Tamandua tetradactyla: one gene and its partners. The protein of the gene in region 1 purifies or fractionates together with the protein of each later gene. This does not show direct contact. Links are inferred from orthologs where the notes say so. Each region holds a gene or a part of one and is shown on either strand. Other genes may lie near its edges. The genes, in order: POLR3B, CRCP, POLR3G and UXT.

The links.
Region 2: the proteins of POLR3B (region 1) and CRCP purify together in Homo sapiens (affinity purification with mass spectrometry; 5 studies listed by BioGRID and IntAct, with this or other methods). This does not show direct contact. The link is inferred for Tamandua tetradactyla from reciprocal best matches to the Homo sapiens genes POLR3B and CRCP.
Region 3: the proteins of POLR3B (region 1) and POLR3G fractionate together in Homo sapiens (co-fractionation; 4 studies listed by BioGRID and IntAct, with this or other methods). This does not show direct contact. The link is inferred for Tamandua tetradactyla from reciprocal best matches to the Homo sapiens genes POLR3B and POLR3G.
Region 4: the proteins of POLR3B (region 1) and UXT purify together in Homo sapiens (affinity purification with mass spectrometry; 3 studies listed by BioGRID and IntAct, counting the BioPlex papers as one, with this or other methods). This does not show direct contact. The link is inferred for Tamandua tetradactyla from reciprocal best matches to the Homo sapiens genes POLR3B and UXT.

Annotation. Positions count from the first base shown.
Region 1 is NC_135333.1:22,886,562-22,893,478, reverse strand, and holds the start of POLR3B (DNA-directed RNA polymerase III subunit RPC2), read right to left. Parts: upstream 3,028-6,917; 5' UTR 2,806-3,027; coding exon 2,734-2,805; intron 2,552-2,733; exon of another isoform or gene 2,350-2,551; intron 1,530-2,349; exon of another isoform or gene 795-1,529; intron 1-794. UniProt on the Homo sapiens protein: Catalytic core component of RNA polymerase III (Pol III), a DNA-dependent RNA polymerase which synthesizes small non-coding RNAs using the four ribonucleoside triphosphates as substrates.
Region 2 is NC_135349.1:18,078,395-18,085,272, forward strand, and holds the start of CRCP (DNA-directed RNA polymerase III subunit RPC9), read right to left. Parts: upstream 3,023-6,878; 5' UTR 2,911-3,022; coding exon 2,903-2,910; intron 2,651-2,902; exon of another isoform or gene 2,557-2,650; intron 1-2,556. UniProt on the Homo sapiens protein: DNA-dependent RNA polymerase catalyzes the transcription of DNA into RNA using the four ribonucleoside triphosphates as substrates.
Region 3 is NC_135347.1:40,811,046-40,818,025, reverse strand, and holds the start of POLR3G (DNA-directed RNA polymerase III subunit RPC7), read left to right. Parts: upstream 1-3,976; 5' UTR 3,977-4,104; intron 4,105-6,980. Other genes in the region: acyl-coenzyme A thioesterase MBLAC2, read right to left, coding at 2,931-3,384. UniProt on the Homo sapiens protein: DNA-dependent RNA polymerase catalyzes the transcription of DNA into RNA using the four ribonucleoside triphosphates as substrates.
Region 4 is NC_135353.1:122,467,339-122,474,406, reverse strand, and holds the start of UXT (protein UXT), read right to left. Parts: upstream 3,003-7,068; 5' UTR 2,937-3,002; exon of another isoform or gene 2,864-2,936; intron 2,760-2,863; 5' UTR 2,751-2,759; coding exon 2,647-2,750; intron 1,705-2,646; coding exon 1,623-1,704; intron 1,505-1,622; coding exon 1,437-1,504; intron 1,161-1,436; coding exon 1,053-1,160; intron 1-1,052. UniProt on the Homo sapiens protein: Involved in gene transcription regulation. Acts in concert with the corepressor URI1 to regulate androgen receptor AR-mediated transcription. Together with URI1, associates with chromatin to the NKX3-1 promoter region.

The DNA of each region.
Region 1 (6,917 bases):
CTCAAAACTTTCTCTTTTCTTCTCCTGCTCTTCAGCTTACTAACTTCCCAACAAGTAGTCAGAGAGGACCTTCTCTGTTCCTCATTTTTCTTTCCTTCTTCTACCAATTACAGTCAAGATTCTGACCCATCTACTAACGAAACTGCTCTAGCAAATGTCACCAATGTTTCCAATATTCCAATTCCAATTCCAAAGAGCTCCCCTCAGCCTTTCCACAGCAGTCGGCCATGTTGACCACTCCCTTCTTGTAACGCTCCTGTGACAACATTCTCTTCTAATGCCTTTCCTACCTCTGAGAATGCCTTCTTGGTCTTCCTTTCCTCTGCCTACTCTGCAAATGTTGGTATCCTCAAAGTTCTATCCCTGGACACTTCTTTTCTCACTCCCAAGTGTGCTGGGTGTGAAGGATTTGAAAGACCACTTGTTTAACATCCCCATTTCAAGATCTCCCACCTCCCTCCCCAGTTACAAATGTAAGCACTTTCAAGGACAGTGACCCTGACTACCTTATTTACCACAGTGCCAGGAGCATAAAAGATCTGCAATAGATAATGAATGAATAAATGAATAAGTGAGTAAATATCACAGCTACAGTGACCCACAAGGTATGAATATGTCTCCTCCAACTGTTTACCAGGCAGCAACACCTTAAGGGCTCAGGAACTACTCAAACTCAATACACCCAAAATTAGATCCCCCAACTTACCCCTTCCTTTCAGCCTGCCCTATTCCCAATCTCAGCGAACAACATCATTTATACAGTCATTACCAATTAAAACCCCAGGGAGTCCTACCTCTCAGATGCTTCTTGATCAGTTGGAGAACAAGTTCCACTGTGTCCACCTCCTTTTAAATTTCCTCACATTCATCCTCTGCTACTGCAGCTGAGGCCCTCATAGTCTTTTACCTGGACTTCTGTGATATTTTCTTTTAAGTCTACTTTAAAGTTGCCATTTTCCCTCCATTCCATGACCAACACTCAAGCTAGAGTGATCTTTTCCATGTTCACAGCTGATCCTGTCATTCATCACCTTACCATTCTCCATTGCCTCCACACCATCCTCATGAAGTCTAAACTCTACAGCATAACGTCCTCTGTGGTCTCACCCCTGGATACTTCTCCAGCCTCACATCTTTCTCCCAAACCACATGAAACTACATGATGGGCTTTTTAATACTTTCAGGCTTTTGCTCATGGCGTCCCTTTTATTCAGAATGCCTCTCCCACCACAACACTTCATCCCCATCTGTTAAGACTCAGTTCGAGCATCACATTTTACCCATCAGTTGCAGTTGTAACAAAGACTTTCCCTTCTATCACAGAATCCACTATATGTTATTCCACATGTGTACATGTCTCCCCCTTTAACCCATAAACTCCTGGAAGACAGGGAGGGAGATTTTGAATTTGTACAATCCCTGGGAATGGTATGCTGCCTGGCCCACAGTAATCCCTCAATAAAATCTGTTCAATAAACAAGTGATTACATGACTCCAAAGCTGTGTTATTTCTCCTACCATGTTGCTATGATAGCATACAGAGTACAGAAAAATATATTAGGTATGGTTAACAGGCAAAATAGCACCTATGTAGGAAAACTTACAGAGAAAGCACTGAAGTAAATAAACATATCAATTTCCCAACTGAAAGGAAAAGTTATTTTCATTTGTTATTAAAGAAATTCTCTTATAAAGTACCGTCCCGATTCTTGTTAGTTCAACACTAAAATTATAGCTTTACTTCATAAAGCAAAAAATGCAGACAACACCCAGCAATAAAAAATGAGTAAAATGGCATTCTCTGAGTCCCTTAAAACCATTCTAGATACCATTGCTTTGGAAAAGGCAATAAAGTTACTCATCACATTCATTCAATCTAATTCATTCATTCATTCAATAAAAACATTTTACAGGTCAAGAACGGAGGACACACAACAAATAAGACAAACATATTCTAGTGGAAAGAAAAACTAAATGTTAGTCTCCAGAATGGAGAAGACACTATCGTAGCAAGTACTAAGGGGATCTAACATCTGGAAGAATCAAGGAAGGCCTCTGGAGGGAGTCATATGATAGATATCTAGGATTTAATCTACAAAGTGCAATGGTGGAAAAAGCGGCTGGAAAAGTAAGCAGCGGACAGACTGAGGAAAGCCTTGTAATCCTTCATAAAGACTTTAAATTTTGCTCTAAGATCAATGGGTAGAAATTGAAGAAGTTAAACCAAGGGAGAGACGTGACCATATTTGTGTGTTTAAACTGATGACTCTGGCTACAGAGCAGAAGACAGATTGGAGTGGGACAAGTCAAGATAGAAAGTAAAAGATTCAGACGATTTGGCTTTCGCACCACAGCTAGAGGACCTCATGAAAGTGGACTAAGCTCCCTGGGTCCTACTGTTTTTCTCGATATGTCTGAAAACGAAGAAGCAATAGGACCCCACAGGGTGGATACGAGAGCTAATCTTCTCGGACACAAACGAACAGGAGCTTGGAAGGGGTCCAACCCGAGCGCCATCGGAGGGCCTCTCGGCTTCCGTAACCACTGACAGCTCTCTGGGCTCACCCCTTCCACACGCTAGCGGCGGCCAACCAAGGAAAAGTATAAGCACGCGCAATGCTTTGAGCATGCGCGATGCCACCCGCCCGCCTCCCGTCCATAGCGAGAACTCTCCGGGCAACGCCTCCTTGAGCGTGTCCCGGGCCCTTCTGCAACCGCGTGCCGGGCGCTCACCTCTACGGTCGGGATCGGAGCCACCAGCTGCTCTGGGGTTAGGTTACCGAACTCTTCCCCTAGGACGTCCATGCTGCTAACGGCGAAAGAAATTCAGCCAGAACCTTCCAGCCCGCCTTCGCTGCACCAAATAAACTGCAGCACGCTTGGAGAACGGTGCGCGGAGGCCTAAACCGTCCCCGCTTGGACTGCTAGTCGGAGGTGCGACAGAAAGGTTCCGCCTGCATGTTGCCCGAACCTGCGGTGGAACCGGATGTGATTGCGGCGGAGCCGGAGAACTGCCCCCTCTGGTGTTGCTGGGAAGTCTAGGCCGGGTAGTCCTAACCCCCGGCCGTCGTGGGTTCTTTCCGTATTAGAGGTCAACAAAACATATTGGTTGTGTTTTTTAAAATAACTTCAGGGAAAGTGTAAACAGATGATTTGCGCAACTTGAGCCACCGAAGCAAATAATGCATTTAATTTATTCCAGGAGTAGTCACATTGTATAGTATGGGAAAATCGGACATTTCCCGACATCAACCGGGGGATTGGTTAAATGAATTAGAGTACGCGCGTGTCATGGGAGTGAGGAGGAGTTCACCACACTGGAGAGTAGAGCGTAACACGACAGTCATTAAGGCAGCGTTATGTACCAGACAGAAGACCCAGAAATAAATACATGTACAGGGCGAAATTTTGTATGAAAAGATGGTATTTTAATTCCGTAGGGGAAAAGATGACTTATTCAATAAATGACGGTGAACAGCTGATTAGTATTTTAAAAAATGTGCTTCTCGATAAATCTTGTACGGGTTAAATACTTAAATGTTAAAAAACCTCAGAAGAAAATGTTAAGTGAATATATTCATAACCTAGAGGTGATGAAAAGTCTTTAAAGGATGGCAACACAATCAAAAGGCACAAAGTAAAAATACTGGTAGATTTGATAATATTAAATAATTCTAAACGTTGTTTTATGATTCCATGAAAAATGAAATTTTTCCATATAGAATTTACAAAATTACCATAAATAGAGTTTTTTAAAAGTACTGGCTGGCGAGTCCCTTCCTTGGGCACGCCCACATTAACCTCTCTAACGTGTACTCTCTTTTTAATAAACTTCTCTTTTAATAAACTTTACTACTTATGCCTAAAAAAAAAAGTACTGGTTGGCAGAAGGCAATGTGTTGGTAGTGGTAATTGACAAGTGCATGCGAATCAACAGGAAAAAAAAACAACAGAAAAATCTAGGCAAAAGATATCAACAAGCAAAACATCATAAATATAAAAATATGTATAACTTCAGAATTAAAATGGAAACTAAATTCTTTTTTACCCATCGAATTGGTATGGATAAGATTTATAATATTAAATGTGGCCCAGAGTATGGACAAACAGGCACTCTCTTACTTTGTTGGTGAGAGAGCACATTGGTACAATATTTGTCATTTCTAGAGGGTAAAAATACATATATTTCCACTGACTCAGCAATTTAGTTGTTTAGATATTTAGTCCAAGGAGATTACTGAAAAGATACACAAATGTGGACAAACAAGGTGAACAGATTGCTCACTGAAGCATTATTTATAAAAACAAAATATTAGAAACAACCTAAATGTCCTCTGATGAATAATTGTAATTATGGGACCCCTAATTATATATTTGTAATTTGATGGATAAGCATCTATCAAATAATTATGGAAATATCTGTGTTTAATTTAGAAAGATGGCATCATCTACTGATAAGTGGGGATGGAAAAGAACAATGTGCTACATGAATAATATCCCAATTATATGTTACATGTATTTATAATGGGTAGAGTTATGAGAAAGGACTTTTAACTGGTTATCTCTGGAGGATGTGATTTACTGTTCTTCATTCTTTCCAGTAATGTTTAAATGTTTTACAATAAGCATGTGTAATTTTTATGATTGAAATAGTTTCTCTTTGGAGCTAAAAATCAGAAACATTGACATTTAAAAGAAAAAATGTAACATTTTAATACATGGAAAAGTTCTCAGTATAACGATAAGTGAGAAAAAGATGAATTAAAAATTGTAGATACACATGGTAAACTCAATTTGGTAATTTTTGATAGTTTGGATGTTCAACGCATATTTATTGATTTGTACTAAGACTCTGTATTAGTTAGGGTTCTCTAGAGAAACAGAATCAACAGGGAACACTCGCAAATGTAAAATTTATGAAAGTGTCTCACGTGACCGTGGGAACGCAGAGTCCAAAATCCACAGAGTAGGCTGTGAAGCCGACAATTCCTATGGAGGGTCTGGACAAACCTCACAGGAGAGGCTCACCAGCCGAAACAGGAAGAGCCTGTCTCTTCTGAATCTTCCTTATAATGCTTTCAGTGATTAGATTAAGCATCACTCATTGCAGAAGACATGCCCCTTTGGCTGATTACAAATGGAATCAGCTGTGGATGCAGCTGACATGATCATGATTTAATTCTGTGAAATGGCCTCATCACAACAGACAAGCCAGCACTTGCCCAACCACCACTTGGCCAAGTTGACAGATGAACCTGACCATGACAGACTCTTTGGTATGCAAGTATGTAAAAATATTAATTTGGTTATCTGCTACTGGTGAGACCAGAGATGATTTTATTCCTTTATTATTTTGTTTATTTTATTTATTTTTTTATTGTATAGTATAACATATATATAAAACAAATAAAAAAGCAATAGTTTTCAAAGCACTCGTCAACAAGTAGTTACCGGACAGATCCCAGAGTGTTTCATATGCTACCATACCATCCTCTCCAATTTTTACTTCTAGCTGCTCCAGAATATAGGAGGCAAGAAGACTTAAAAAAAATTTTTGTCACCATAATCGACTTTTCTTATTTTCTGTGAAAAATAATATATATACAAAACAGCAATAATTTCAAAGCACAGCATCACAATTAGTTGTAGAAAATATTTCAGAATTTGACATGGGTTACAAGTCCAAATTTTAGGTTTTTACTTTTAACTGCTCTAAGATACTGGAGACTAAAAGAGATCAATTTAGTGATTCAGTCATCATATTCATTTTGTTAAATCCTATCTTCTCTGTGTAACTCCACCATCACCTTCAATCTTTCTATCCCGTTCTTTAGGGGTGTTTGGGCTATAGCCATTCTAACATTTTCATGTCGGAAGGGTCTGTCACTAATACAGAGTAGGGAGATGGAACTATCTGATGTTCAGGAGAGGCTGAGCCATCTAGGTTTCATGACTTACCTGGTCCAGAGACTCATCTGGAAGTTGTAGGTTTCTGGAAAGTTACTCTAATGCCTGGAACCCTTGTGGAATCTTATATACTGCTCTAGGTGTTTTTTAGGATTGGCTGGAATGGTCCTTGTTGGGGTTTGGCAGGTTATGATAGGTAGCAATGTCTAACTGAAGCTTGCGTAAGAACAACCTCCAGAGTAGCCTCTTGATTCTATGTGAATTCTCTGCCGCTGATACTTTATTAGTTACTGTGCCGATTTGAAAGGATGTATGTATCCTAGAAAAGCCATGTTTTAATCCTAATCCTATTTTGTAAAGGCAGCCATTTCTTTTAATCCCTATTCAGCACTATGTATGCCTGAAACTTTAATTAGATCATCTCCCTGTAGATGTGACTCAATCAAGAGTGGTTATTGAACTGGATTAGGTGGAGAAGTGTCTTCACCCATTCCGGCTGGGTCTTGATTAGTTTACTGGAATACTATAAAAGAGGAAATCTTAGGGAGAAAGCCAGGAGATTCTGAGAGACCAGAGAATGGCATAGCCATGGGAAGTAGAGTCCACCAGTCGGTGATCTTTGGAAATGAAGAAGGAAAATGCCTCCTGGGGGAGTTTCATGAAAGGAAGCCAGGAGAGAAAGCTAGCAGATGACGCCATGTTCACCATGTGCCTTTCCAGATGAGAGAGAAAAACCCTGACCATGTTCCCATCTGCCTTCTCACTTGACAGAGAAACCCTGAACTTCGTCACCCTTCTTGAACCAAGGTATCTTCCTGGATGCCTTAGATTGGACATTTCTATAGACTGGTTTAATTGGTACATTCTCTCAGCCTTAGAACTGTAAACTAGCAACTTATTAAATTCCCCCTTTTAAAGCCATTCCATTTCTGGTATATTGAATTCCAGCAGCTAGCAAACTAGAACACTCACCTTGACTCTTGTCTGTCCCCACATTATTTACCTCTGCT
Region 2 (6,878 bases), on another chromosome or scaffold:
ACTGTTAACTTGCAACTTACTAAACTCCCCTTTTTAAAAGCCATTCTGTTTCTGGATATTGCATTCTGGCAGCTAGCAAACTAGAACATCCATGAATTGCTAGCTACAAAATTCTTGATTAGTTTCAGTAAGTCACTGACTCCTAGAGAGAAGTGAACAGGTTGTTACAAGACCATTTCACTTAGGAAAGTCAGAAAACCTAGCAACTAGGTAGATGATGGTCTTAATAACTGAGATATAAGCAGGTTGGGCTGGAGAGGAAACCATCAATATTTCTGTTTTGAAAATGTTAAGTCCGAGTTGCCTTTTCAACGTGTAAATGCAGATGCCAAATAAGTAGTGGAGAATTGGGGTTCAGAACTCAGGAGAAAGGGGCTAGAATTATAATTCGTAGATTCATCAGCAGAGGTAGGTACAATAGCCAAGAGACAGTATGTGGAGAGAAGGGTTCCCAGGATTGAGCTCTGAGATACCTCAACACTCAGAAGCCAACAAGAAGGGATGGGGGGAAAGGAGACTGAAAAGTAGTACCTGATGTAGAAGGAAATCCAAGAGAGCATGTCATAAAGCCAGTAAATATTTCTAGAAGAAACAGACACCCGTATCAACTGCTGCTGAGAGATCAAGAAAGTAAACAACAGAAAACCAATTTTTGGATTTGACAAACTGGAGGGCTTGGGTAATCATCACAAGAGCCATTTAAATGGAGTTAATGAGGTAAAAACAACAACAACAACAAAACAGAATGGTTTAGACAGTACAAAGGGATTGCCTAAACAACTATCATGAAGTTCTGTTACAACGCGAAATAGAAATGGAGCGTAAATGAATAAGAGACAAGGGATTCTATGCATCTATCTATCTCTTTATTTTTGGCATGGGCAGGCTCCCGGAATTGAACCTGGGTCTCGGGCTTGGCAGTCGAGAACTCTGCCACAAGGGACTTTATTTTTAAGATGGATAAATAGAAGTTTTTTATGCTGACAGGAAATTCTCCAGTCAATAGGGAGAAACTGATAATAATGGCTTGGATCACAGTCATACGTGTTTTTCAAGCTGCAGTTGTATCCCATTAATGGGTTACAAAACCAATTAGGTAAAAAAAAAATTAGGTTTCTTTTTCCTTCTTCCCATTATTTTTTTTATGAGAGCATGTGCCAGTTTGAAACTGTCATGTACCCCAGAAAAGCAATGCCCATTAATCCTTTTAATATTGCTGGGTGGGATCTTTTTATTGTTTCTATGCAGATGTGACCCACTCAATTGTGGGTGGTCACTTTTGATTAGATGGCTTCCATGGAGATGTATCTCCACCCATTCAAGGTGGGGTTGCTTACTGGAGTCCTTCAAGAGGTACCCATGTTGGAAAAAGCTTTAGAACAAACCGAGCCCACATAGCCAGAGACCTCTGGAGACATAAAGAAAACACCACCAGGGAAGCCACTGAAGAAGTCTGGGAAGAAAGCTAGTAGACCTTGCCACGTGCCTTTCCATCTGAGAAACTAGGAACTCAACAGCCTTCTTGTACCAAGGTATCTCTCCCTGGATGCCTTAGTTTGGACATTTTTATAACCTTGCCTTAATTTGAACATTTTTCATGGCCGTAGCACTGTACACTTGCAACTTGATAAATTCTCCTTTTTGACAGCCATTCCATTTCTGGTATATCACATTCTGACAGCTTTTACAAATTAAAACAGAGCAGTTACAGGTTTACAGAAAAATTATGGAGAAAGTAGAGTCCCACATACCTCCCTCCCATAGTTTTTCCTATTAACATTTTGCATTAGTGTGGTAACTGCTGCAACTGATGAACAAACATTATTATAAGTACACTATTAACTATAGCTATTGCTTGCAACAGGGGTCACTTTTTGCGTTGTACAGTTTCATGGTTGTTTTTTAATTTTTATTCTGGTAACATATATACAACCAAGTCAGCATTCTTTTCATGAAATAGAAGAGTCAGTGTCAGAGTGTACAGCATAGCATACAATAAAGGTAAACGTTGTTTCATGAAGCTTTTATTTCAGTTATATATACATCTTGTGTTAAAAGTCAAGATAAGATCAAATAAACTGGAAAAACTGCGGTATATATAACCATTAAACAAGTTACAGAACAAAGGAAACTGGGTGCTGTAAGGAACACAATATATGTGTACCTGCAAGTTAATGTCAACTAAGTAAAAATACACATGAAAAGTAAAAAAAAAAAAAAAAACACCTCCATTTGCACATGGTACTAGGAGTAAAAATGAGAAAAGACAATGTGGAGCTAAATCGTTAGAACAGCTCTTACTCTTTTCTCCCCTCCCCCCCCCCCCACCAGTGTTGTTTCTTCAGCCCCTTAACTGGTTCACGCACTCCCTTCTCCGCAGAATATACGCGCCTTCCTTCACAGGGCTAACTGCTCCTCATCACACTCACTGAGCACCTCTTCAGAGTTACGGTTCCCCCGAGTGGGAGCCTACTACCCCTAGGATCTATTTCAACACCTAACCGTCTCCCCTCCTGGTGGACTCACGGATTTATTCCTGAATCGCCGCTAACTTACCGGGCCGGGCTCCCCACTGGGACTTAGGAAACACGTGTAAATGACCGCAGGAGAGAGGAGACACGAATGAAAGACAGCCAGGCCCAATGGCATTCTGCTCATGTCCCAGGCATGGAGATGAGGAGGTGGGAAGGTGGGGAAGAAAGGTTCAGAGGAGCAAGTCTAAAGTCCCTTTCTTCCCCTCCTACCCAAACCCGACTGCCCCTTCTACGACTGGGCCGTCGCCCTCACCGCAAGCCGGGGAGGAGGGTCGCCCCATCTCCACGCCTCCCGGCTCCCCGCAGTGTAACCGTCCCCCACCCTTGGGCCCCCGCCCAAAGGCGGGAACGCATCCCGGGCGGCTTACACCTCCATGTTGCCTCCGCCTCGTCGTCTCTGGATACCGCAGGACAAGAAACCTCACACAGTTTCACCACTGCTGTTTCCGCCTTCCTCTCTGAGCCCGCAGGATCGCCGGCACAGCAAGCCGCGGTGCACGCCGGGATGGGCGCGCTGCACGCCGGGAGCCTGGAGGACTTTGCTGGGCCCTCCGCGCCGCCCGGTGCTCCTTTTCCCGAGGGGACTGTATTTTCTTCGTCCAGGCAGACTTCAGACTGTCCAGCGTTTGCAGAAATAACTTATCACGTTTTCTTGGCCTAGGTCCTATCAGAGTATTAATAAACTAAGATTCCAAAGAGTTGATAGAGTTGGTGGGCCTTTGCGGATTTAGAATCCCACCCCTCAGAGAGCAGTGATGATGGGGACGGGCCGAGGGGACTTGTGGCTGCTGGAGTTACTTTCTTTCTTGATGTGGGTGCTGGTTATATGGGATGTTATAATTGAATAAAATGTTTTTAAAGATGGAGAAAAAAAAAGCCCTTCTCCCTGTTCCCTTTCTTCCTTGAGAGCTATTTCACAAAAAATTTATGAAGAGCTTTAACTAAAGGAACAGCCTCTGACTTTGGGCCTTTCTGGGAATTTGGGAAAAGGGAATTATCGGATTCCCTAAATAAAGAAGCAAGTGTAGTGATTTTTTGCTGAGAAATAACATAAATGCTCACGATGTAGAATCGAGAAATAATATGTTTCTGCCGTATAGTATGGTGTATTCAGCCAAGAAAAATCGTGTTGCAGAATGATGCTGGAAAAATGCTCAAGATAGGATTTCTAAAAGATGCAAATGATATGATATGATCCTGATTATCTAAAGAAAATAATGTATGAGTTAAAAAATACCCGGGATATGGAAGGCAGAGCTACCTGATCTGCAAGATTTTATGTCTTTGAAAGAACAGGGTTGGGAGAGTGGGTGTCAATTTCATTATTTCCTGTTATTTTTTAGTATGCTTGAAATATTTCTTAAAGCAGGAGGGAAATATGACAAAATATTAACAGTGGCAGATGCCTTTGCCTTTGAGGCAATTGCTGGGGGTGGTTTCTGCTTTTTAAGTCTTTCATGTTCTATTAGTTTTCATTTACCAAGTTCATTCTCTTTGCCAAGCCCTAAGTAAGCACTTTTTACACCATGAGATTGACAGTGAATGGTGCTGACCTGGCAGTCGGCCAGCCTTGTTCCTATTTACCATCATGGCTTTCCTAGAAGCTGTTTGACTTTGTGGAAATGACTTAACCTCCCTCCACCATAATTCCCTAGTCTGTAAATTAGAGATCTGTTATGTCATCTTTATAAAGTGCCTGGCACATAGTAAGTGCTCATCAAATATTAACTATTACAACAGTACTCTGAGTTACAGTCCATTATTATTCACATTTTACAATTGAGGAAACTGAGGCAAAGCTTTGGAGAAGTTATGACTTAACCCAATGTCATTCACCTGGGAACTTGCCCCACAGAGATCCAAACCCAGATAATACAAACAAATGCAGGAGGCATATTAAATTGTTAATAGTGGCTGATGAATAGATAAATAAAATGTGGAATATTCATACAATGGAATATCATTTGGCAATGAAAGGGAATGAAGTACTGATACATATTACAGCATAGATGACCCTCAGAAATATGTTAAGTGAAAGAAGTCAGACACAAAAGACCATGCATCATATGATTCCTTATATGAAATGTCCAGAATAGGCAAATCTATAGACAGGAAATAGATTATCAGTTGCTGGGAGCTAGGAAGCCGGGAGCAGGGTGGGGTGGAGGTTCTGCAGGCAGGAAGTGAGGTGCAGAATGGGAACTGACAGCTAATGGGTACGGGTTTTTTTTTTTTTTTTTTTAGGGGAGATGAAAATGTTCTAAAATTAGATTATAGCGATAGCTGCACAACCCTGTAAATATACTAAAAAAACATTGGATTGCACACTTTGCATGGGTGAATTGTATGGTATGTGAATTTTACCCCAGTAAAGCTGGTTGAAAAATATTAATAGAGACAGCAGGATGTTCGGCTTCTGAGCGGGGACCTTTGTATCATGTGCTAAGAGAGTGAATTCAAAATGGGTGAATTTGAGAAGGGCAAGAAGATTTTTGTTCAGAAGTGTGCCCAGTGCCACACCGTGGAAGAGGGAGGGAAACACAAGACTGGGCCAAATCTGCATGGTCTCTAGGCGGAAGACAGGTCAGGCGCCTGGATTCTCTTACACAGATGCCAACAAGAAGAAAGGCATCACTTGGGAAGAGGAGACACTGTTGGAGTATTTGGAGAATCCCAAGAAGTATATCCCTGGAAGAAAAATGATCTTTGCTGGCAGTAAGAAGATGGCAGAAAGGGCAGGCTTGATAGCTTATCTCAAAGCTACTAATGAGTAATAATTGGCCACTGCATTATTTATTATAAGATAGGTGGGACTTTTTTACATGTATCATATCTGAATTGATCTCACACACCAGAATTCAGATCATGAATAGCTGATAGTATATTTTTATTGGACAGCCCTGAGTTAAATAAGATTAGCTTATAGTTAAATGAATGTGATCAAGCTTTTTAAATTGATATAATTCTGGTTTCAGCAAGTGCTATCACTATTTCCCCTTTCTAAAGATATAACTGGACTGAGGCTAAGTGAATTAGTAATGCTCAGCTTTTCACAGAGATGGTGAATACCAGTTCAATCTACTGGAGATTGGTTTTAAATTTAAATTTATATGATTGGTGTTATGAATATACTTGAATACTAGGAAATCTCTTCATTGTCACAGAATAGAGCAAGACTCATCTGGGTTTCAATTGGTGTCCTCAGCCTGTTTAAAGGCAGGTGCTAAAAATAAGGTAGCTATGTCCACTTTATCTTTTTGATCTTAACTGTGTCAATCTAATTAAAAGTCCCTGAATTTCAATATTTGAAATGTTGCCTTTTAATTAACAAAAGGCATTTTGGTGTCGTTTATGTATAAAACCCAATAAAGAATGCTGAATGTGTGAATGTGTGAAACCTTCTCACATTTTATAGATAATCTATAAAGTTGAATGTTTTCAAAAGTCAGTGTGACAAGTTAAATTTTGCTTTTTCATTCTTTATTATCTTAAATCAGACCAAGTTACAATTCAGGTCGTCTTTAAACTGCTATTCAAAACCACATAAAATTGTAGAGACACTGAATTACGTGTGTTTGGTCACGATGCTTTTGCCAACTCGTAAGGATTTAGATAGAGAAGATAGACCATCAGTACGAGTTAGTAAATTTTGTTATCATAAGTCTTAAGATGATTAAAAAAACACAAAGACAAAAAGAAAATATTATGAATAGTGGAAGGAAAGTGTGGAGGCTTTTTAACATTTAACTTTATACATTCTGTTGTTTAAAATTTTTCAATGAATGTGTTATGTTTATAATTAAAATTTTTTAAATAACTAATGTTACTGTTACTTACAACGCAGGGCTAGACGGTGCCCAGAATGAAAGAGGAAAGAGACTGGGATCAGGGGACCTAACTTCTCAGAGAAGTTCAGGCAAGTTTATTTAGGGCTGTACTTCTTTTTATACCCTAGATATGCATGTGAAAAGCTTTGTTCTATTTTCTAATGTTACTTTATGTTGCTTACCACTTTTGGCAATGTCAGCTAGTTCTTGCTAGACTAAGCAATCTTGCTTTGTGTCTTTTAGCAACACCTGCTGTATTAAAAACATCCTTTTCTTTCAAGTTCAGCCAGACTGTTTATCTTTGAACCTTGGGGCAGACTCCCTGGTCTTTACTTCTGCCTTTTAACCCTTTCCAAGCTGTTTTTCCATCAAACTCATTTACTTTAAAAATCACCAGGGGAATGGAATGCCACCCCAGGCCCAACTGGCCTGACTTGTGTCCTCTGTATCTCCCCTGTGAGAAAAGCAGTCCCAACCGGCAGCGCCAAAGAGGCTCCTTGTGTTATTCCTTCAGCAA
Region 3 (6,980 bases), on another chromosome or scaffold:
TGGCATTGGCTCCTGATTTCCTAGTGCAGGCACAGGATAAAACTAACTCAGTCCCTATATCTGCTTTCCAGATCTGCAATAGTTCCCTGGTCAATATGGATTTATACTTAAAACAAATAACCCACTATCCCTTTCTAATAGTCTTAATGGGGTTTTGGGAGGGAGCCAAATTACATGGGTCTATTTAATCTGCTACCTTCTTGGAATCTGTATGTTTGTTTTTAACCTCTCTAAGCAATTTAAGTCTACTGGAACCACTCCTCTGACACAATATTTACAATCATTGTAGTGTCAGTTCAGATAATATCTTGGTACTCTGGGCAAATTGCTTTAAACATGTATAAACGTTCTTCACATCACTTGATAGCACTTCATATTATTTAAATATTGTGAAAAACAGGCAAAATGATATCTGCCCATTTCAAGAGGAAACTGCTATATCAATCTAAAGTATATTACTATCTTCTTATAAGTAGATATTATTTCACTATTAGGGTGAATTGCTTTTGCATCAAAGATATACACTGGATGATATAGCTGGTGTCTTGGCCTCTTTGTACCTCATTTACAAGTCAGCTTTTGAGTTTGGAATACTGTGCACAGATTTATGCTTCTCCATGACAGGTGATCCTCCATACACTAAATGAAATGTAATAAACAAATGACTCCAATCTCCTTGCATTCTAATGAAAGCAGTGAAGACTTTATCCTGTTTGGGTTTGTGCTATTTGTGTTTGTATGTGTGCGTGTGTGTGTAACTGTTTATAAATTTTTACTATAAATATTTTATATCTTTTTCCAGTCATCTGGATCCTTAATAGCAAGTTAGAATTTTTGAAGTAATTTGTTTGCCACCCTGCCCCCCCGGAAAATGTGTGTGTACCATTTTATGACATTGTTGGCTAGAATGAACCAGACTCTATTTTTTATTCAAAGCTCTGCCTCTCTTTGGAGACATGTCATGAGAATAAAAATGTACACATTCTCTGAAAAAAAAAATAGCAAGTTAGAAAGCCACATCATTCAGAAGAGACAGGAAATTAACATACCTGAGAAGGGAGGAAATTAGATACTACTTGAGAGTGTGAGACAACCAGCTCCTAATGAAGAACAACTTTTGATAACACAGTATTTTCACCTTCAAAGTGCTTGGTAAATATTAAGCTTTCTGATTACACCTTCAAAAGTCTTAAAGCTCCACACAAGTAACTTGCAGGTCCTTTGCAGTTTCAAAATGCTACATTCTACCATCAATTGGAATTCAGGAAACCTGGGTTTAATCTCAGCTCTTGATCAAACTGGTTATGTTTGATCTGCTTGGGACTCCTGTTTTCATCTATAAAACAAGGGAGTTTCACTTGTTGATCCCAATTATTCTTTTGATCTATAAATCTCCCTTGGTGCCTTCAGAAGTAATTTATTCTTTAAAAAATTTAAATACATTTAATATTATTATAAACATATTTTGGTCTAGGTGGGATATAATTCACTGGAATCAACTAATTCTGAATACCTAGTAACTGCATGTAAATCTCACCTCTAAAAGTTTGAATTTTATCAAGAAATACATAAATTAAAAGGACATTTAATGTGAATGTACTTTTTTTCATCTTGAACTGTTATGAAAAGATGTTTTGGGTGGTGTGGGCAATTTATAGAATTGTGTTTTCTATTTTTTAATATTGCAAATTAATGAAATCTTGTAAGATAAAAGTGCTTATTCTTTATTTGGCAGTATGGCTGGGTCAAAAAGTGAGCTCTGTCTGGTACCTATTGTACTTCAACAAGTGGGTCTTTCTACCTTATAGAGGGATATATTGGTAGCAACTAAAATGGTTTGGAAAGGGAAAGGAAAAAGGGGATTTCATTTTACAGAATTATCGTAATATATTTACGGGAGGAGATTCATGTATGTTCAGTTTGCTTGGATATACTGCACCTTGGCTCCAATCCATTTTGTTAACTATTTTGCTCGGTAGACTTCAGCCAAGTCATCTAACTGGGTGTCAATGGCCTCATTTCAATTGTGTTGTGAGGGTAAAAAGAAGAAAATGGAAGCATCCTACAAAGAAGGAAAATTTAATAAACCAAACATTGCTACTATGGCTATTTAGCTCAATTATTTAAGCACCAGCGTAGAGGGTTTGAGGCAGGGGCTGACACCTTCCTCTATTTTGTTTTATTCCATGAATTTCTTTCTGAACCCCATTCTTTCACAGAGCCAGAAAAGATCAGGATTACCTAGGCATTAGACGACATCTCTCTCCTCTACCGGAAGCAACATCCTAATTAATTATTCTCAGGTTTGAGACTCAGACATGTTTTACTTTTATGTTCGCAATCACGCTTTTTTTCTCGTGAGGCAACATCAAGAACAGAAATCTATTTTGAAGATAATGGTGCTCGATCACATTGGAACCGCTACTCTCTTAATGGTCTTCTAAACCTACAGGTGGTAATCGCCCACATGCAGTGGTGACCAAGCAGATGAAGTCAGCAGTTCTCAAAAGCATAGCGCATGGCATGCTCTCTTCCTGAGGTGTCACTCCTTAGAAGTCTTCTCGTTACAAAAGCACCTAGAAATGTCAGACAGGTGCCCGGAAAAGCACTGGGAAATCCCAGCCACAAGTCCCTGTAGCGCTACTACTGTTAACGGATCGAGGAAAGTGACTAGGGGGTGGGGACGGCTTTCACTCGAGCAGCGCAACCGCTACACAGTGGCCGAAGCCGGGCTCGGCAAGGAAAGCTGCAATGGCCTTGCCTCTGATCGGGTGGGCTTTTACTCAAGGAGTGCTGCAACTGAAGTGGTGTTTATGCGACGTGCCAAAACAAGCCCCTTACAGCCACGCAGGTCTGCAACATGCATCCCTAGGGCCGTCTCTTCCCCCATCCCTTCCCTTAGAGAGCGCGCGCGCATGGGGGCCCCTTACCATCCTGCAGGACCAGGGTGGGCTGCACAGCCTGCACTCGGAACTGCCTGGCCCTCCAGCCGGGGCTGGGTGCCCGCACCACCTCGCTGTCGGACAGCCAGGTCACCGTCTCAAAGTTGTCCCCACGAGCGAGAGCCTCGGCCTCGGCGTGGTGCACCGCCACTCGGTCAAACTGGTAGAGGCCGCCGGCGTGGTCGAAATGCACGTGCGTGGCCACCGCCAGCAGCGGCCGGCGCGCCGCGTCTTCCTTGGCTCCGCGGTCCTGCAGGAGACCGGAGGAGTACAGGTACTCCGGGAGGCTGCGCAACCCCAGGCCCGTGTCGATCACCACGTCCTGCTCCGAGCCGCGCACAAGCCAGATGTTGGCGCGGTTGCCCGACTCATAGAAGCGTTCCTGAATCCAGAAGATGCCGTCGCCCAGGGACTTGTGGGCGTACCACTCGAGCGCTGACATCGTGGGCAGGGGTGCGGCCGGGGGTGGGCGGGTGTGGGCGTGGGAGCTTCCCGCAGGCTGTCCGGAGGAGCGGCGCTGCGGCGGTGTGGAGCGCGGTGCCCACAGGCCGGAGAAGCGCAGAGCGAGGAGGGGGGCGGGGGCTGCGGAGATACGCGTGGGGAGGGGGGAGCAGGAAGGACGCCTCGCACCTCCCGCACCCTCCCACCAGGTCCGCAGAGAGCAGAGGATTCGCTGCCCGCACCCGGACGCAGGAGCACTAGCTGTCCAGCACAAGGCGGGGGAGGGGAGGCGTCAATGCAGGGGCCGCTTCAACAGAATGGAGATCCAAAAGGCGATACTTTCACCACCTCGCGAGGAGAGGGGCACTGGGGGCTGACTGCAGAGGCGTGGGAAGTCCCGGGTCTGTCCGCCCACCCGCGCAGCACTGTGCTCACTCCCAACCGGCGCCGAAAGAGTCAGGCCAAGCCGGTTGGAAGAAAACTACGGCGCCTGCCAAGGGCTAAAAAACCTTTAACCCAGGAGGTGGGGCCTGGCTGCGGGCTGGGCGGGGCTAGATGGCCGGGCTCAGAACGCGGGCCTGCGGCCGCGTGGAGGGCGGGGCGCGCTGCTCCAGAGGTAGATCCCCCGGCCGGCGGCGCCGGCTCCCTCCATCCGCACCCCTTCCTTGCCGGCCGGCACCTCGGCTGCAGTTTTGCCCGAGCCGGGAGACTTAGTGAGCAGGTAACTGAGGAAGCAACCGGGACCCTGGGAGGGGACGAGGTGGTTAGGGGGGAGTTTAAAGAGGCACATGGAGTGGGTGGGGGAAGCCAGGCGTGGAGATTTAAGGTCCTCTGGGAGGAGAAATGTTGAGAGATAGCTTTATCCTCTTCTGCTCCATTCAAAATCTTTTAGTTGTGGTTTCTGGATCTTACTTGGTCTCCACTTCCTGGGACCAAGTGATTTAGGGGGGAACTTATTTACTCTTACTGATGGTAGGAGATTTACCAAATCCTGTGACTATGCGATTTTTCAGGTACTAGTCATTGCCGCAGACTTGCCCCCTAAGGACAGATTATTCAGGATCTGTTTTTAACTGTGGGCATTTTACCCTTCGTGGGGAGGGAGTTTGTTAAGATTTTTCTTCTTTTTGAAAAGTAAAATTCTTTATTTTTCTTCACCTCCCCTCGCCCCTCATTTTTGGTTAGTTGGTTCGCTGTTGGAAGAGAGCAAGGAAAGTTGGTAGGCATGCCCAACCAAGGAAAGGTGGAGGCAGCCAGCCCTTCTGACGCCTGGAAAAGTGAATAATAACTGGGTGTGGTCCCGCCAGCCACGTAAATCACCTCTGTTATTAACACCCGGTGCCTGCAACCTCCCCTCTCCTTATCTGCAGCTTTTGAAACATCCATTTAGGCTTAGAAAATTCCCTTGAGAGCTTGATTTACCTCCCCACTCAGTCAGGAAAAATTATTAAGGGACCCATGAGACAACATTATAAAAGATAATTATGGAAACCCTTACTCTGGCAGTTACTAATAAGCCTTAATAGAAACAGAGGTATATGCTCTTCTACATTTTTAAGGCATTTGGTGGGGATGCGACCTTTCTGAAGATTTTACTAATCCTTGGAGGTTATCCAGTCACCACCTAGGGGGGCACTTTTATGTGCATGACCCTGAGCTAGATGCTGTATGAGGAAAATAATTGTGTGAGAAAGACATGATCTGAGTTCTCAAGAATGCGAAGGAAAACAATATCTGTACACAAATTTTTGCAATACAAAGCAAATATGGGGTATAGACCACAGAAGGAGTCGAAATTAGGTGCAATAGAGTACAGCTAAAAGATGTTTTTATTAGGACATTCTCAGCAGGGAAATACAGCGCTCCCAGCAGTTCGGGTATTTTTCATCTAGGCAGAAAGAAACCGTTGGAGTTGAAATGAAATGATATCCTTGTGAGACCAAAATCTCAGCAAAAATTCACCCAACATTTATTGTATTTTTTTGCCAGGCTCTGGTTAGGGATAGGACATAAAAAGAAGAATAGGTTTTTATAGAGACCCTATGCATTTACAGATCCCTCTCCTTATATCCCATTTTCTCCCTAGATATCCTTTCCAAATTCCTTGCATGGTTCCCTCCCCTACCTTCCTCAGGGAAAGCCTCTCTCCCTTACATTCTTCAGGGTGCTCAGATATTACTGAATGAAGAAAAGACTTCTTCAACCATCCTTTCTATAGACGGGGTGTTCCCAAATCTAGTTTCCACTCTTTCCACTGTAGGCCTTGAGTTTAATTTAAATTTATTCTCCATTTCCTATACTAGATTATGAATTCCATGAGAGCACAGACTTCGTTTTGTTCATTGCTATGTTCCCAATGCATAGAAGATGTCCTGATTCATAGAAGGTGCTTAGTAACTACTTGATGAATAAATGAATGAAGAGACATAATGGGGGGACAGGCAAGAAATGAACAATTACATTACAATTCTAAAACCAGCCATAGAAGCATGTACTACTTGGTAAACGCTGAGAAGGGAGAGGACTACCTCTGTGTAGGGTGTTGAAAATAGTCACAGAGAAAGTGACATTTTCAAGGAGTCTTAAAAGGATTGCTCGGGCTTCCTCAAGTGGATGTGGGAGGACACTCCAGGCGGAGGGTACACTGTGCAAAACTAGGGTAGCAGCGTTTGCTGTGGTTAGAGTCTGGGATGCAGAGGACTAGAGGCAGAAAGTTAGACTCAAAAAAACTCTCTTGGGTGTTTATAAGGTTGAGAGTGACAGGTCAAGATATGTTTTGTAGAAAGGCAAATGGAGAGTGCATTGAAAGACTGTCCATGGGAAGTTTGTTCTGTTTTAGAGGTTCAGGTGAGAGACCATGAGGGAGTAAACTAAAGGAGAGGTGAAAGAAAGGGAGTGTGTGGGAGAGCACACAGACCTGATAGTCTTCTATAATTAGATGAGGGAATGGAGAGAAAGGAGGTGAGGATGACTATCAGGTTTCTGATTGGGGCTACTAAGGTGTCATTCATCAAGAAAGGGGCTGCAGATAGTGAACAGGTTTGCTGGAAATTTCAGTTCAGGACACACTGAGTTGAGATATTTGTAAGATACATAGGTAGAAATATGCAGATGGTCAAGATAGAGTTCTTAAAAGAGGAGAGAGAACAAGGCTGGATTTAAAGATTGGAGAATTCTTGCCATGCTGGAGACCTGAGTTTGATTCCCAGTGCCTGCCCCTGCAAAACAACAACAACAAAAAAGATTGGAGAATTCTCCAAAGAGGTTAAGTGAACCTAAAGTGGATGGACTCCCTCATTGGGAGGTAAAGTGGATAGACTCACTGGGAAGAGTTTCTAGAGTAGTGTCACCGCTGTGGGGCATGAACTGGAGGTGTACATGTTTCCTAACGGCTCCCAGGCTCAAATGATTATGGAAGTTGCTTCCCAGATGCTCAACTTTTGTATGTACTCCTTTCTAACGTTCAGAATTCACCTACCTTAGAGGCTGGAGGTCTACATCTTGCTAGTTTTCCATTCCTAACTTATCTTTCCCATTTGTCTTTTTCCATTTTACAAAAGAAAGGCATACCTCTTATTCACCCTGGATTTGGTGCAT
Region 4 (7,068 bases), on another chromosome or scaffold:
CAAACAAAATAAAAACAGTGTTGAGTATTTCTTTCCATGAACAGGGAACCCTCAGACATTAAACAATTCAATCCACTGGAGGGCACAAATTCGGAGCCAGAAAGCCTGGGTTTAAATCCCATCTCCACTTCTAACCTTTTTTGGGCCTCAATCATGCATCTGAAAATGGGATAATAGTACCCACTTCATAGGGTTGTTGTGAGGGTTAAATGAGTGAAAAATGTCCAGTGCTTATCCTGGCATAGTAAGTGCTATGTAAATGTTTGCTATTATTATTTTTATCACTATTACTAGACCATTCTTGAAAACAAACACCTCCTCCTCCCTCCCATTTCTCCCACTGGGTACACATCTTTTTCTCCTTTAATTCACATCTAAACTTCTGGGAGAGAAAAAGGTTGTATATAACCCTATCTGGTTTTCTATAGCCATCAAAATAGTTCTCAATCCTAGAAAATGAAATAAAGTAATAGAGACCTAAAAGACCTATCAACCAAGTGTGATATATGGACCTTGTTATATGGTCTTTTGTGGATTTGAACAAATCAACTGTAAAAATTTTTTGAAGCTTTTCTTTTACTTTGAAAAATTTCAATCCTACAGAACCAATGAAATAGTATAATGAACACCTGTAAACCCTTCACCCAGATTCATAACTCATTAATCATCTGTTACATCTACTTTCTCTTTTTCTCTACAAACTCATGCTTTTTTTGCTGGACCATATGAAAGTTCCAGGCATCATGACACTTTACCATTAAACACTCCTGTGTGTAAATAAGGCCACTGTCCTTCAAGAGTGCAATGCCATTATCACATCCAAAAGATGCCCAATAAATATTTGTGCAAATGAACAATACAAAGACCATAACTGAATGCTTATTAGGTGCTGTGTTTGGTGCTAAGCTTTGCATTCTCACTTTCTTCAGCCCCAGCCCCGAGAAGGAAGGGAGTTGGGTCCTAAAGTATCATCCATGGTAGCCATGGGAAGAGGAAGAAGGGTATTGATAATGGTGGTGTTTTTAGACACTGTCCTCATGAATGGAACTTACTCTGTGAGAAGGCTGCTCTTACGATCAATGAACTTGAGAGCTTCTGCCAATGTCAGCTCCAGGAAAAAGCCATATCCAATGGCCACAAAGATCCGTGAAGTGTCTGGGCTAATGAAAGAGTGGTTAGAGGAGGTGTAAAGTTCTTTACATCATTTAGCATACCAGCCAGTTTAAGATGTTTTCTGATTCCTCCCTACCCCCAGCCTGGCCCAAATTGAAGCTCTGGGAGGGCAAGACTTTTGTCCTACTTTATTCACTGTCACATCCCCAGAACCTAGCATGGTGTCTGGTATATAGCAGATGCTCAAAAATATTTTGTTGAATGAAGGAGGGGGGATGCTGAACCTTGTAGATTCAAAGGTAGGTAGATGGGTAGGCACTCACACCACTGCGTCAACGAAGAAGTTACAGCCCAAATCCACCTGCATATATAACTCCGAATGGTTAGTTTCCTATGGGGTGAGGGAGAAAGAGGTAGGGGTCAGGTGTCAGATTTTATGTCAGGTGACAGGTCTTGCTCTGGAGTTTCTTCTCCCATCTCCCAAAGGTACCCAACCCTAGTGTTTTTACCTGGAGTTTTTCAATGACGTTTCTCAGTTGAAGGTATTTGGCCAGCTGCTCATATACCTTGTCACGATGGTCCAGCACCTTTCTGATGGGGTGAGAGTCTAATTGGTGACCAATACGTGATCCTGTCCCTCTGGGGATACCTGATATCATGACCCTCTGAGACCCTCATGTTACCACGCCATGAAGAGGCATTTTGGTGCAGAAGTTAAGATTTTGGCCTCTGGAGTCAGACTACCTGGGCTTGAATCCAGGCTCTCCCCTTTACTAGCTTGTGTGACCTTGACAAGTAACCTCTCTGGGACTCAGTTTTCCCATCTATAAAACAGGGATGACAGTGTTACCTCAAATTCATTAGGAAGATTAAATGAGTGTTTCATATAAAGTGCTTAGAATAGTGACTGCCAAACAGTAAGCTCTACATACATGATAGCTATTAATTATTACTATTATTATTATACTCCAACCCAAATATCTTCCTCGATGAGAATGTCCCATCTTTACCCTAGAAAATTCTCATAGCCCTAGTTCTGAGCACTCTACTTCCTGCTTGGATTATGATACATTAATAACAATTCTTCATACTCGTTGAGGCTCTAGTATGTTTCCAGCATTCATGCTAAATTCTTTACAATGATAGGATTCATTGAAAACCCAAGGCCACTGCATGAGGTTTATCTACTTCTCCATTTCACCTCTGGGGAGACTGAGGCACACAGAGGCGAGGAACAAGGTATTCACACGGATGGCAAGTGGCTGAACCGGGATTCGAACTTGGGTCCAGAAACCTAGCTCTGAACCATTACGCGATATCATAGGCTACGTAGGCGCGGACGTGCCTGCCACTCTGAACGCCAAGTCCCAGCCAAACCTCACCCCAAATGTAGTCCTTCCTTCCGGATAGCAAGGGGCGAGGGGACGAGCTCCAAACGCCCGCTCACCAATCAGAAGGTTCGGCCCTGACTCTGAACACCCCGCCCACCACGTGGAGCTTTCCAAACGTCCTGCCCCGTATCCAGTCACTCACTGCAGGTCCCGCTGTAGCACGTCGCTGATAAATGCCTCATAGCGCAGCACTTTCTCTGCCGTGGCTTCCAAGGCCCGCCGTTTAGGGGGCGGGGGCGTCGCCATGATGGGCTCCTGGACAGTTAGGAGGGGGAAGACATGTTGATCACTCCAATTCGGCCTCATGACCAGCACATCTCCACCCTCCTGACGTTGGGAATGGGCTCGTCCGACCCAACCTGGGGGTTCCGCCTTCCGTCCCTCCCAACTCTGGGACACTGCCATTCAGGGACATCCAAATGCGGCCCGTACCTTAGAACCGCCAGGAAAAAGAACGGCGAGTTGGTATGAACCGCGGCTTCCGGGTGGCGCGGATGAATGATGTAATGGCAAGCCGGATGGCCAATCATATGGCCAGGTATGGAGGGGGCGGTCCTGAACGGAAGAAGACTGGCCAAAGCGGAGAAGAGAAGGGCGGAGCTTTATGTATCCGAAGCGAAGTGAAGACTGCGGAGCGTGCGAGTAGGGGCTGTTTTGGCAATGAACCAGCTAGTAGGGACAATGAAAGTTACGTGCGGAGCTTATGGGGAGCATGCAGAACTCGTAGGGGTGGGGTTTAATGGGATTTGGCGGGTTCTGGGGGAGGTGGGACTCACAGGTAGAGATAGAGAAAGGGAGTAAAGCATTTGATATTTAAAAGGAAGGGCTGTGGAAAGAGACCTGCAAAAGTTAATTATGGTTCTGGTCTGCAGGGAAGGGAGTACATCCCATGTAACCTATCGACCTGGATTTGATTTTTACTCACCTGGGAGATTTGAGTTTGAATCACGGTAATGGTAATGAGTGTGAGCATTTAAACTTTTTTTTTTTTTAACGGAGTCAGATTGTCTCAAATTCATCATTGATGACTGCAGCTTTGCGGCCCACAATCCATAAATGGGGTTCAAGTGGACATTAACCTGTTATGTCTAATTGCCTCTAATTGCCTCTTGTAGTAGGGAGGTCATATGGAGGGTCGATGACGTTTTCCACTCACGTTTGGCTATCTCGTAGTAGAAATAGTTCCTGTGTGTTTTATTTAAATTTGTAAGCTTTTTTTTTATTGTTACGTTCTTTTTTAAAAAATATTTTTTATTGAGAAATCTTCAACATACATACAGTCCATACATGGTATACAATCAGTGGCTCACAATATCATCATATGGCTGTGTATTCATCACCATGATCTTTTTTGAACATTTGCATCACTCCAGAAAAAGAAATAAAAAGAAAAAAAGAGTAAGCTAGCAGGATAACATTTTAAAAAGCGTTTTCATCCATCGACATTATGCCACTAAAACAAGTCCTTTCCAAAAAATGTTTATTTGGTACAAAATTTATATTTTGACTAGTGCAGTCCCTAATATAACTTATGTGGACAGCTTAATTGAACACAATAAGTACTTGGAACCTTGAGCAGGACATAAGATTTTGAAGGTTTGTCTAGAGTGATGCCCCCATAAATCCCAGGATGATTTGAAAAGTGAATAAAAAAGTTATTTGCAAAGTCCCCTTCGGGGAATGGTGAGAAAAGGGGAAAATTCAACTTCCCCAAGTGGAGAATTCTTGATACTCTCACAAGCAGTGGGGACAACTAAAGCAATAGGCTGAGTCCCCAATCTTGGGGTTTGTTTATATGAAACTTAACCCCACAAAGGATAGGTTAAGCCTACTTAAAATTAGGCCTAAGAGTCATCCCCAAGAGAACCTCTTTTGTTGTTCAGATATGGCCTCTCTCTCCAGCCAACACAGCAAGCAAACTCACTGCCCTCCCCCTCTTTACGTGGGATATGACTCCCAGGGGTGTGGACCTTCCTAGCAAGGTGGGACAGATATCCTAGAATAGGCTGGGACTCAGCATCAAGGGATTGAGAAAACCTTCTCGACCAAAAGGGGAAAGAGAGAAATGAAACAAAATAAAGTGTCAATGGCTGAGAGTCCAAACGGAGTCGAGAGGTTATCCTGGATGTTATTCTTACACATTAAGTAGATATCACCTTGTTATTCAAGATGTAATGGAGAGGCTGGAGGGAACTGCCTGAAAATGTAGAGCTGTGTTCTAGTAGCCATGTTTCTTGAAGATGATTGTATAGTGATATAGCTTTCGCAATGTGACTGTGTGATTGTGAAAACCTTGCTTCCGATGCTTCTTTTATCTACCTTAATGACAGATGAGTAAAACATAAGGATTAAAAATAAATAAATAATGGGGGAACAAATGTTAAAATAAATTTAATAGATTGAAATGCTAGTGATCAATGAAAGGGAGGGGTAAGGGGTATGGTATGTATGAATTTTTTTCTGTTGTCTTTTTATTCCTTTTTCTGAATTGATGCAAATGTTCTAAGAAATTATGATGTTGAATATGCACGTATGTGATGATAGTGTGAATTACTGATTATATATGTAGACCAGAATGATCATATTTTAAGAATTTTGTGTTTGTTGTTATATATTTTTAAAAAAATTAAAATTAAAACAAACAAAAAACCAAGTCCTTTCTTGAGCAGCTTTTGTTGATAAAGAGGAGGACACTTCTATAGTTTAAGTTGCGTAGCTGTTACAAAAGACAAATCATGTCTCCATCTCCAGTTTTATCATGGTGCTCTATGAGGATTGTTTTGAACTAGATCTATTTAGGCAATATATATTTGTAAGCAGGGAAAGAGAAAATAATTTAAAATGGATACAACTGGTAAATACATTTCAAAATCAGTTGCAGCAGCTTGATTATGGGGTGTTTGTTTCCCAAAGCTGGGCCCAGTGAAACTGGGTTTGGGAATTGGTTGGTCATTATCCCTCCTTCTGTTCCAACAGTGGCAACAGCCATTTTTCATGAGGGATGAGCTATAAAAAATGAAATATCTACAACAGGGAGGATTTCTGCAACTTCAAGAGCAAGCTCCATAGAAAACCCAGCTACCTGCTTATCATAGTGGCCAGAGGAAATATAAGAGTTATGGATTTGGAATTAAACCATGCAGTGCTAATTAGGGATTAAACCATACCGTAACCAGAAAACGCCAAAAGGGAAGGTTTATAAGTTCTCTGGGAAGGCATGCATTTCTTCCTGTCTCTGGGGCCAAATGAGAACCTAGTAAAAGGCCTTATACTTGTTCAAATGGGCACCCAAAATACTTGTACGATGAATGAATAAATGAAAAAAATGAATGAACCTCCTCCTTAAAAAAAACAACTCATACATACCATACCTCTAACTGCTCCCTCTCATTGACCACTAGTATTTACCACTAGTATCTCCATCTACCCAATTTATTTTAATCTTTGTACCTCTTATTATCTGTTTATTTTTTATCCACATTTTTTACTCATCTGTCCACACCATAGATAAAAGGAGCATCAGACACAAGGTTTTCACAATCACACAGTCACTTTGTAAAAGCCATATCATTATATAATCATCTTTAAGAAACAAGGCTACTGGAGCACAGCTCTACAGTTTCAGGTACTTTCCTCTAGCCACTCAAATACACCATAAACTAAAAAGGAATATCTATATAATTTGTGTGAACAACCTCCAGGATAATATCTTGACTCTGTTTGAAATCTCTCAGCCACTGACACTTTATTTTTTCTCATTTCTCTCTTCCTCCTTTTGGTCAATAAGGTTTTCTCAATCCCTTGATGCTGAGTCCCATCTCATCCTGGAATTTCTGTCCCACATTGCCAGGGAGATTTACACCCCTGGAAGTCATGTCTCACATAGGAGGGAAGGGCTGTGGGTTCCCTTGCCATGTCACCTTAGAGAAAGAAACCACATCTGAGCAACAAAAGAGGTTCTCTGGGTGTGTGTGTGTGTGACTCTTATGCCTAATTTTAAGTAGGCTTAGCTTATCCTTCGCAGGAATAAATTTCATAGGGGCGAACCCCAAGACTGGGGACTCAGCCTATTGATTTGGTTGTCCCCACTGCTTTGTGAGAGTATCAGAAATTCTCCAAATGTGGAAGTTGAATCTTTTCCCCTTTCTCCCCATTCCCCTAAGGAGAACTGGCAATTACTTCTTTATTCACTGTCTGAATCATTTTGGGATTTATTGGGACATCACACTAACCTGGACAATCTAACAAAATCTCATGCCCTATTCAAGATTCCCTGTACTTAAGGTGTTCAACTAAACTGACCACACAAATTAAATTAGGAAATGCACTACCCAAAATATAAATTTTGTCCCAAATAAACATCTATCCCTTTAGTCTCACACAGAAGTCGAAGTTTTAAGATATGAATGATACTGTCCTTTTCCCAGTCTTCTTATATACCTTAGTCCTGTCCAGATCAGCTTCATTCATATCTCTACTCAATGTCTGATCACTTTTTCAACTTTTTAAACTGTTCCTGTACGGGGTACTGCTTACTTTCATAGCTTCAGAGCTCTGACTCTGA